2 linked regions of the Stegostoma tigrinum genome follow. The protein of the gene in region 1 interacts with the protein of each later gene in a biochemical or structural test. Links are inferred from orthologs where the notes say so. Each region holds a gene or a part of one and is shown in the gene's direction. Other genes may lie near its edges.

Region 1 (3,926 bases):
TGTCTTTGTCCCTCTAAGTGGTTGATGTCTTGGATTTGGAAGGTGCTGTTGAAGACGCCTTGTGAATTACTGCAGTGTACCTGCACATACCATTGCTACAGTAAGTCAGTGGTAGAGACAGCGGCTTTCAAAAGTGGAGGACAGGTGTCAATAAGTGCACTGCTTTGATGGATGTTGTCAAACCAATTGAGTCTTGTTGCAGCGTGCAGGTAAATGGGGAATATTAGATCACATTCCTGACTTGAGCTTTGTAGATGATGGTCAAACTTTGAAGAGTCAGGGGTGAGTTACTTGGCGCCAAATCCCTAGTCCCTGATCTGCTGTTGTAATCACACTGTGCATATAACTGGTCAACTTCAGTTTCTGATCAATGGTAACCCCAAGAATGCTCCTTTGGATGAGAGTTATGAATTTGTATCAACATACACTTCCAGCAATTTGTGGTACAAAATATTTTGAACTAACAGATGAAGATAAAAATATTTAAAACAACATAAACTACAAGATGCCCTCCATTAAACTTGAATTGGAAAATTTAATATGTGCATACAGACATTTCTCTCACAGGGTACTTAACAAGGAACCTTCCAATCTCATACATATAAATTGAAAAATCATGTACCAAAAGTTCTGTAATATTGGTAACATACAAAACAAGCTATGCACAGTCTGAACCTATATCCCTGACTGATTAACAAAAGAAAACATATTACTGGCATTTAAAATAAATAATGAAATGTCTCACTTGGCAGTGAGCTGGGTGGACGGCACAGAATCAGCCAACAAAGTAAGTAAAACCCTGTAAAATTGAAAAGGACAGTTTTGACATTAGTAACAGAACTAATCAAAAGTCTGTAAATGGTTCTCAAGCTGTTTGACTGACATCATGCGAGAACTGTTGGCTTGCCCTGCTGCTATGCATACTTCACTTGAAAAATATTCGCTTTTTTCTACGTTTTTACATTAACTTTATTCTTGATTTAGTGTTGTATCTGTCAATTAACTGTGTGTACATATTTACACATCAATGTCTGCAGGCCAGTTTAAATTATAATAAGATAGCAAATTGATGCGTATCTCCCACTTTACTCAGTTATCTATTCAAATCTGTTTGGATTAAGATATCTGCCATGTATGTGAGATATATCTGTGTATGCAAGAGTCCAATGATTGCAATCCACTGACTGAAACTTAAAAATGTTTTCTGTTGCTGAGGCAATTGTAACCTTTGTATATATCTAACATTTTTGCGGATTTTGCAGATTTCCAGAATTTATAGTCCATGTCTCTAATACCTGTTTATGCAAGAGGTCTATATACAAAGTTCATTTGAACTGAATACATATTTTTGCATTATAAGTAGTTAGCAGTGCAAGTAGCCCCTATATAACTAGCCGTCTAAATAAATTGGTATTGGAGTTTCTTACCAAGTACAGGTATAGCTCAGTTTAGTATCAGATCTCTTTAAAAATGCACCTGACTCTGGGCATGTTGGTCGCCTGTTTAGTAGATACAACGTGTAAAAATTAGATTGATACTCAAGCTGCAAATTAACATCTCTCTTCACATACTGGGATCCTTACTGTCTGCAAAATTCGAACTGCCTTATCTGGCTGACTCGCTGTCCTTTTTTTCTAATAAATTCTCAGAGCTCATGCAAACGACCTGGCAGAGAAAATAGACGCAATTGCCGAGATTCTGGCAGGAGTTCTGCAATGTTGGCAGGACTGACCAGGAAAAAAAAGCCGCAGCGGAGAAAAGTCAACTGGCTACAAGGACCGAGTTGGGTCCCTGACTAATTACGTATTGTCCATATCCGTCTCTTACAAGTGGCAATTAGGGTCGAGTGAATAAAAGCGCCTGGACTTAGAGTGAGTTAGTATTTTGTGGAGTGGCTGACAAGATGGCTACGACGCTCTTACAGGGATACCTGCTCATGATCCTCATCAAAACGACTCTGCAAGGAGGTGAGCACGCATAGCGATTGCACTGTCTCTTCGTGATTCTGATTAAATAATACATCGCCGCTAGCAGTGGCGATGTGCCCTACATTTGCTCTGAAATATTAAGGAAGAATGTTCTTTACTTTGAAAGTTATGCGGGCGATCCTTACGCTTCAGGGGAAATTGGATGAGTTTTGAAGACTTCTATCTGTGTTTTCTGCTGAGAAGTCTCCAACACTGACCAAACACGTATTTTCACTACAGTTCAATCGCTTTCGTTTAGAAAAGATTTGCGCTAGAATTCCGATGGGAATTGCAAACTACGTGACTGCAACTTAAGAGTTACAGTCGCAAATGTATGTGACCTGCTTATTCCTTGTACATCTTTGCCCGTTACCGTTTCTTCGTGTAAATTTTTGTGCCTTTCCTTCCCTCCCCTTTTTATTACTATAACTTCTTTACTTCATATTCCTGGTCTGCGGTTTGGTTGGGCATGCCTGCCTTCCACCATCCCACCCCCCACCCCGATCCATAGGTGGGTGCGCGCGCCTTCTTGCCGGGAGCTGTTCGGTATTCCAGGACTGTTGGGAATGAGATTTATGACCAGGGATTGGAGTCGGACTGAAAATCTCTTTAAATATTGAGACTGACGTTGCAGTAACTGCAGCAAACAGATAATTTAAAAATAAATTTTGCCTGAAACGAACAAGTTTTCACACTTTGGTTCACTACATTTCTTATCATACTAGTGAACAATAACAGAGTAGTGGCGTCGCACTGACTTCACAGTTCTAGCAGTTTTTAATTCAATCAGTGTACAGTCTGTGGCCAGATAGGCTGTCAATTTTGTGTCAGAACAAGGAAACCTCTCAATCTCCGACCTGCGAAATGCAAGTCCAACCATGAACCAGATTAGCCCTCGACCCAACTTTAACTGTGCGGTGCACAATACTGCGCTTTTTGGCATTCCGAGTCTTTGAGGTCTCTAATGTGGGCTTCTGCCAATTAGAGCTTTCCATTTAATTCGCTGCTGCATAGGAGCTGGAATTGGCACCTGACTGAGAATCCTAAACATTCACCAAGCATTCGTCAAGCAATGACCCATCCGCTGCAATTTTCCCAAACTGTTGGAAGAATTGATGAAGCGTGCGATAAATCACAAATTATGCACCAATGAAGCTTATTGTGTGAACTTTGTAACCTGTGTGCAATCGGGAAAAACATAATTTGTCTTCAAAGTAAACAGACGAATAAGGAAATGCAGCCCAGAAATATCTGACGGTCCAAGCTGTTGCTATGTTCCTTTTTCTTTGTAAAGAAATTGACTCTAATCTAATTAAGGTAAATGCTGGAGACACTTTATATTGTTAATGTCAGTAGCAGTAAACCGCAGGTTTTGTTAAGCATGAAATAACATTGTTTTAAAATACTCCGATTATACTCAAACCGAAATTCGACTTCCTCGGAAACGTTTACTGTGTGGTGTGGAAAAACTTTTATTTTCTATTTCCTTTCTGCAATAGCCTGCAGGTGATTTGAAAAACTTTCATTTCAGATTTCCAGCTTTGGCGATTTGTAGTTTATTTTAGAGCGAATTGTTTAATTACAGTAAACTGGTATCCCCTCCTCCATTATCAAAACCCTGACTTTTATCCTGAAGTGGAAATATCCCCTCTAGATTTTTCAGTTGCGAAGAGAAATACCTCAACTTAAATACAGAAGTCAGTCTTGAAGAGCTAACCAAACATCTTAAATCGGCATAGGTGTCTTTCATTGGAAATAAAAAAATACTATTTTTGATAACTTTTTTCCTCAAATGCCCATTGCTGTCGTCTCATTACCTGATTGTATTTCAGGACAGGATCGAAACAAGGAAAGATGGCAAATTTTAACCGTAATTTGAAAGTTTCTAAAATTACAAACTGACGGTAGGAATGGGTTCATACATCTTGTGGTTGGAAATATTGTGCCTCTGTTGATTTC
Region 2 (3,926 bases), on another chromosome or scaffold:
ATTTTAAACACTGCTCTAAATACCCTTTAATGTTCCTTTCTAATGAAAACGGTTCCAACTCTTAAACAGAACACAAACATAGGGTCAAATAATAGATGTGTAAGGAAGAAAGAGCTAATATTTCAGGCCAGTGACCTTTCAGAACAGCCATCAATCCAAATGTTAATACAGCTCCCCTTTCTCTAGCCTGCACAGTATTTTGCTTTACTTTTCTTTTGAATTTGTACATGCTGATACCAGGCAGAATCTTAGTGAATCTGTGCCACACAATCATTATCACCATATCATTTTACTATCTATAGAACTCGAAATAGTACACATAGTCCAAATGTAATCTTGCTGAAGTTTTATATACGTTCAAACTACATTTTGATTTTTATATTTAGCACATCTTGCCTGGGAACCCAGTATAATCGCATGTTTACGGCCTTACTCGCGTGCAAATGAAAACCATTTTCTTTTCTGTATCTCTTAGATTTACTCAAACTATAATTGTCCTGCCTACCCAAGTTTACTGATATTGCTTCACTTCTTTCGCCCAATGTTAACGCTGCAATAATAGCCTCTGATACTCTCAATCACAGGATTACAAATCCTACTTGTATTATCTGGTCCCCTTATCTAAACAGTTGGTTGTATACTGAGGATACTAACACACAGTATGTAAATATAGAAGTGCATATGTTTCGTGCACTCTTCCTCACTTGAGTCCAGCAGATTTTGCACAGGGCAATCAACATAAGTGACCAGTGTCTCAATGTACATTTGCTTTCCGCAGAGAGAGAATCTCAGACACCAGGTGAAACAGAACTGCGAAGGGTCTTTTCCAATCCTCTTCACAGTCGATCCAGCCTGCAGTTCACGAATTCCGATCAATCCTGCTTCGCCCACCCGCGCCTGTTTCCCATCTGGGCAGGACCTGGCTACATTATGAAAGAACAGCAGCCACTCACCTCCACGGACCCCCAGGATCGAGTGTTGCCCTCCCAGCACAGTGCCAGCGCCCCGGGAGCGAGGTGGTGACAGGTTATTGAGCAAACCGGCCCTGTTCCCCAACCCCGAGCGTACACCCAAACCTGCCGCCAACTAGAGCCTCCCGTTCCGCATTCGCCCACTGCTTCTATCATGGAGCTTATTCATAAGTATTGACCAGTCCATGTACAGCCGCGTACTCTTCACGCTCAACCACCTCAACACCGACCTCCGGTCGATTGACAGGCCAATCAGCCAATCAGTGACCGAGACCGCCGGCTGCTAGCCAATGGCCACACAAAAAGCGACCAGGGCAGCGTGACAGATCCCGCCCCCGCTCCTTTGTTTGAAGTTCGGAATCGATTATCTCCGTCGTTCCTAACGGTAAACAGTTCCAATCATGGAAAGGAGAGAATCCGAACCCGTGTTCGAACTTCAAACGGGTTCTTTCTGTCATCTCGCCAACGGAATGAGGTTGAATCCTTACCGCCACCGCAGGTGAGCTGTTAGCCGTTATCGTTCGTCCTGGAGATTTCTGTTTCCCACCGCGCGCTGCGCTCGCGATTCCACCGGCCCCCTCCCAGAGTCGAGCCCCGCCCCAACCTCTCGTGCCAGCCCAACCAAGATTTCCTCCAGTCAAGCGGAGAGTTTGCAGCTATGCCGCTTCTCGATCGGCAAAACTTCTTTGCAGAGGCGGGTGATTTCATGCCCAGCAGCAGGCAGGTTCTGAGAAATCATTGTTTCTTGCCTGTCTTTTCGGTTGTGTTTTTTTTCCAAAGAGCTCCGATACACATGAGCAGGATGCACAGGCCCGGATAGAGGCAGGAGCGGTGTAGCGGATCGTTCGTGACTGTTCCTGGAGATGTGGGTAAGCCATTCCCTCCCTCCCCTCCCACCTCTGGAAACTTGCCCGATTTTGTACATGGGGCCCTACTGGCGGCCTCGTTGAGCTCGGAATTTTGATTTGGGAAGACCGCTGGGCTGGCTGCATTGGAGGCAGTAACACAGCAGGGTGGGGGGAGCTGGCCACGGCCATGACAGGGAGCAATACTGGCTCTTCACTCTCTTGGGCAGCGCATGGGGCACAAGAGGAGACGGTGTTAAGACTTCTAGATTTTTGTTCTAAGGGCAGCTGAACCCACAGTAGTCAAGGACCCGGTAAATGGATGATTATTTTCACCCTGTACTCCCCTTCTAATGAGGATCAACATCCAAAAAACCGTGTGAACACAGCAGGCCAAGCAGCATCTCAGGAATGCTCCTGAGATGCTGCTTGGCCTGCTGTGTTCATCCAGCCTCACATTTTATTGTCTTGGAATTCTCCAGCATCTGCAGTTCCCGTTATCTCTGAAGTCCCGTGTGCTTCGTTTAGGGTGTATCACTGAAAATGGCATTAACTGACTAATCTGGAGAACCAGTGCTCCAGGAAGCTGATCATTGAGATTTGTAGTTTCGTTGTGCGTAGCCATTCGGCCCATAATGCCAGTTGCAGCTCTTTAATTGAGAAATTCATCAACTACGTTAATCTCCCACAACATCCCCCCTCGCTCTATCTTATGAACATGTTTTCTTTCCATTTTTTGTCAATTATTTATGAATGTCCTTATTGAAACAATTTGCAACACCTTTTCAGGTAGTTCATACTAGATAGAAACTTGCTGCGTAAAAACAATGTTGTATCGCCTTACTTTGTGTTCTTGTGTCAGTCACGTTTAAATCTGTTCCCTCCAGCAACTGATTGTTTTGGCGCTGGAACCAGCTTCTTTTCATTCAATTATAACCTTTAATGAGTTTGCTCACCTTTATCAAATCTGTGTATGTATTGTTTGATGGAGTGTATTTTTCAGAAACAACTTTGTACAATGTTTTGAAATTTGTTTATCACAATAAAGAATAATCAAGTGCAACACAATTACTTTTGGGAATTTGATTTTAAAGTTTTATTTGGTTTAATAAAAATATTTGCTTTCAGGTGTATATTAAAATGAGCGCCTAAATGATGTTAATATGATGAATGCTGGAATTATGGTTAGGTTATGAATACTAGACTAATAATAAAAAAAAATTCATTTTCTTCTATTCAGCTGTGTTTGCATGTCTGTGTTTTCTCTCTGGAACTGTAAATCCTGACCAGGAGTGCTGATTTATGATTAACTGAATAGTTCAAATTTTATTTTTATTGCACGTACTTCTAGGATTTTTAGTTAAGCTAGGGAGACTGCATTCTGTTTGCAATTAGAGACATTGGTTTATGTTGACTAAATAAGTCAAATTTTGTTTATATTTAAGGGTTTTGGAAGCTTTCTTTAATGTTTTCTCATTAAAGTTAAAAATTTCCATCAGTTTTTCTATTTTAAAACATCAGTGATCTTGGTCATGCTATTGAACTGGATGGAGTTTATTTACTTAATATTAATAAAATCAAAAGTGTATGGCTTAAAATCTAATAATAAATGTGATAACAATATCCATTTATATTACCTTTAATACTGAACATTTCTCAAAACGCTTGACAGAACTAGAACATGCATGCAAACCTAAAGAATGCAACACCAGTTTGAAGAGCTTAGTCAACTTAATGTGTATTTGAAGAAAAATGTTGGTACATCAACTTCAATATAGATGATTATGAGATGTATACTTTGATAATTGGAATAAGAGCACATACATTTTCGAAAATAAGTATCCAACTCGAGTAGAAGACCAAAGAGATCTAAGGTTTACAGATGTAGAAAGTAGCTACACCAGTTAACAAGACCATAAAAAACTAACAATGCTCTAGCTTATTTTCTAGATGGAGGGAATTCAAAACAAAGAATTTGCAAGTAAAATGACAAAATATGTGATTCAACCCACTGGCTCCATGCTGGCAGGAAAATGTTATCAAATATAATCCCATCTTCCATTTCTTGGGCTGCAGCCCCAGTAGGTTATAACACCTCAAATGCATTGCC

The links.
Region 2: the proteins of elna (region 1) and protein-lysine 6-oxidase form a complex in vitro, tested with the Homo sapiens proteins (2 studies listed by BioGRID and IntAct). The link is inferred for Stegostoma tigrinum from reciprocal best matches to the Homo sapiens genes ELN and LOX.

Annotation. Positions count from the first base shown.
Region 1 is NC_081380.1:14,392,077-14,396,002, reverse strand, and holds the start of elna (elastin a), read left to right. Parts: upstream 1-1,655; 5' UTR 1,656-1,903; coding exon 1,904-1,967; intron 1,968-3,926. UniProt on the Homo sapiens protein: Major structural protein of tissues such as aorta and nuchal ligament, which must expand rapidly and recover completely.
Region 2 is NC_081356.1:72,578,540-72,582,465, forward strand, and holds the start of protein-lysine 6-oxidase, read left to right. Parts: upstream 1-1,313; 5' UTR 1,314-1,470; exon of another isoform or gene 1,471-1,751; 5' UTR 1,752-1,840; intron 1,841-3,926. UniProt on the Homo sapiens protein: Responsible for the post-translational oxidative deamination of peptidyl lysine residues in precursors to fibrous collagen and elastin. Regulator of Ras expression. May play a role in tumor suppression. Plays a role in the aortic wall architecture.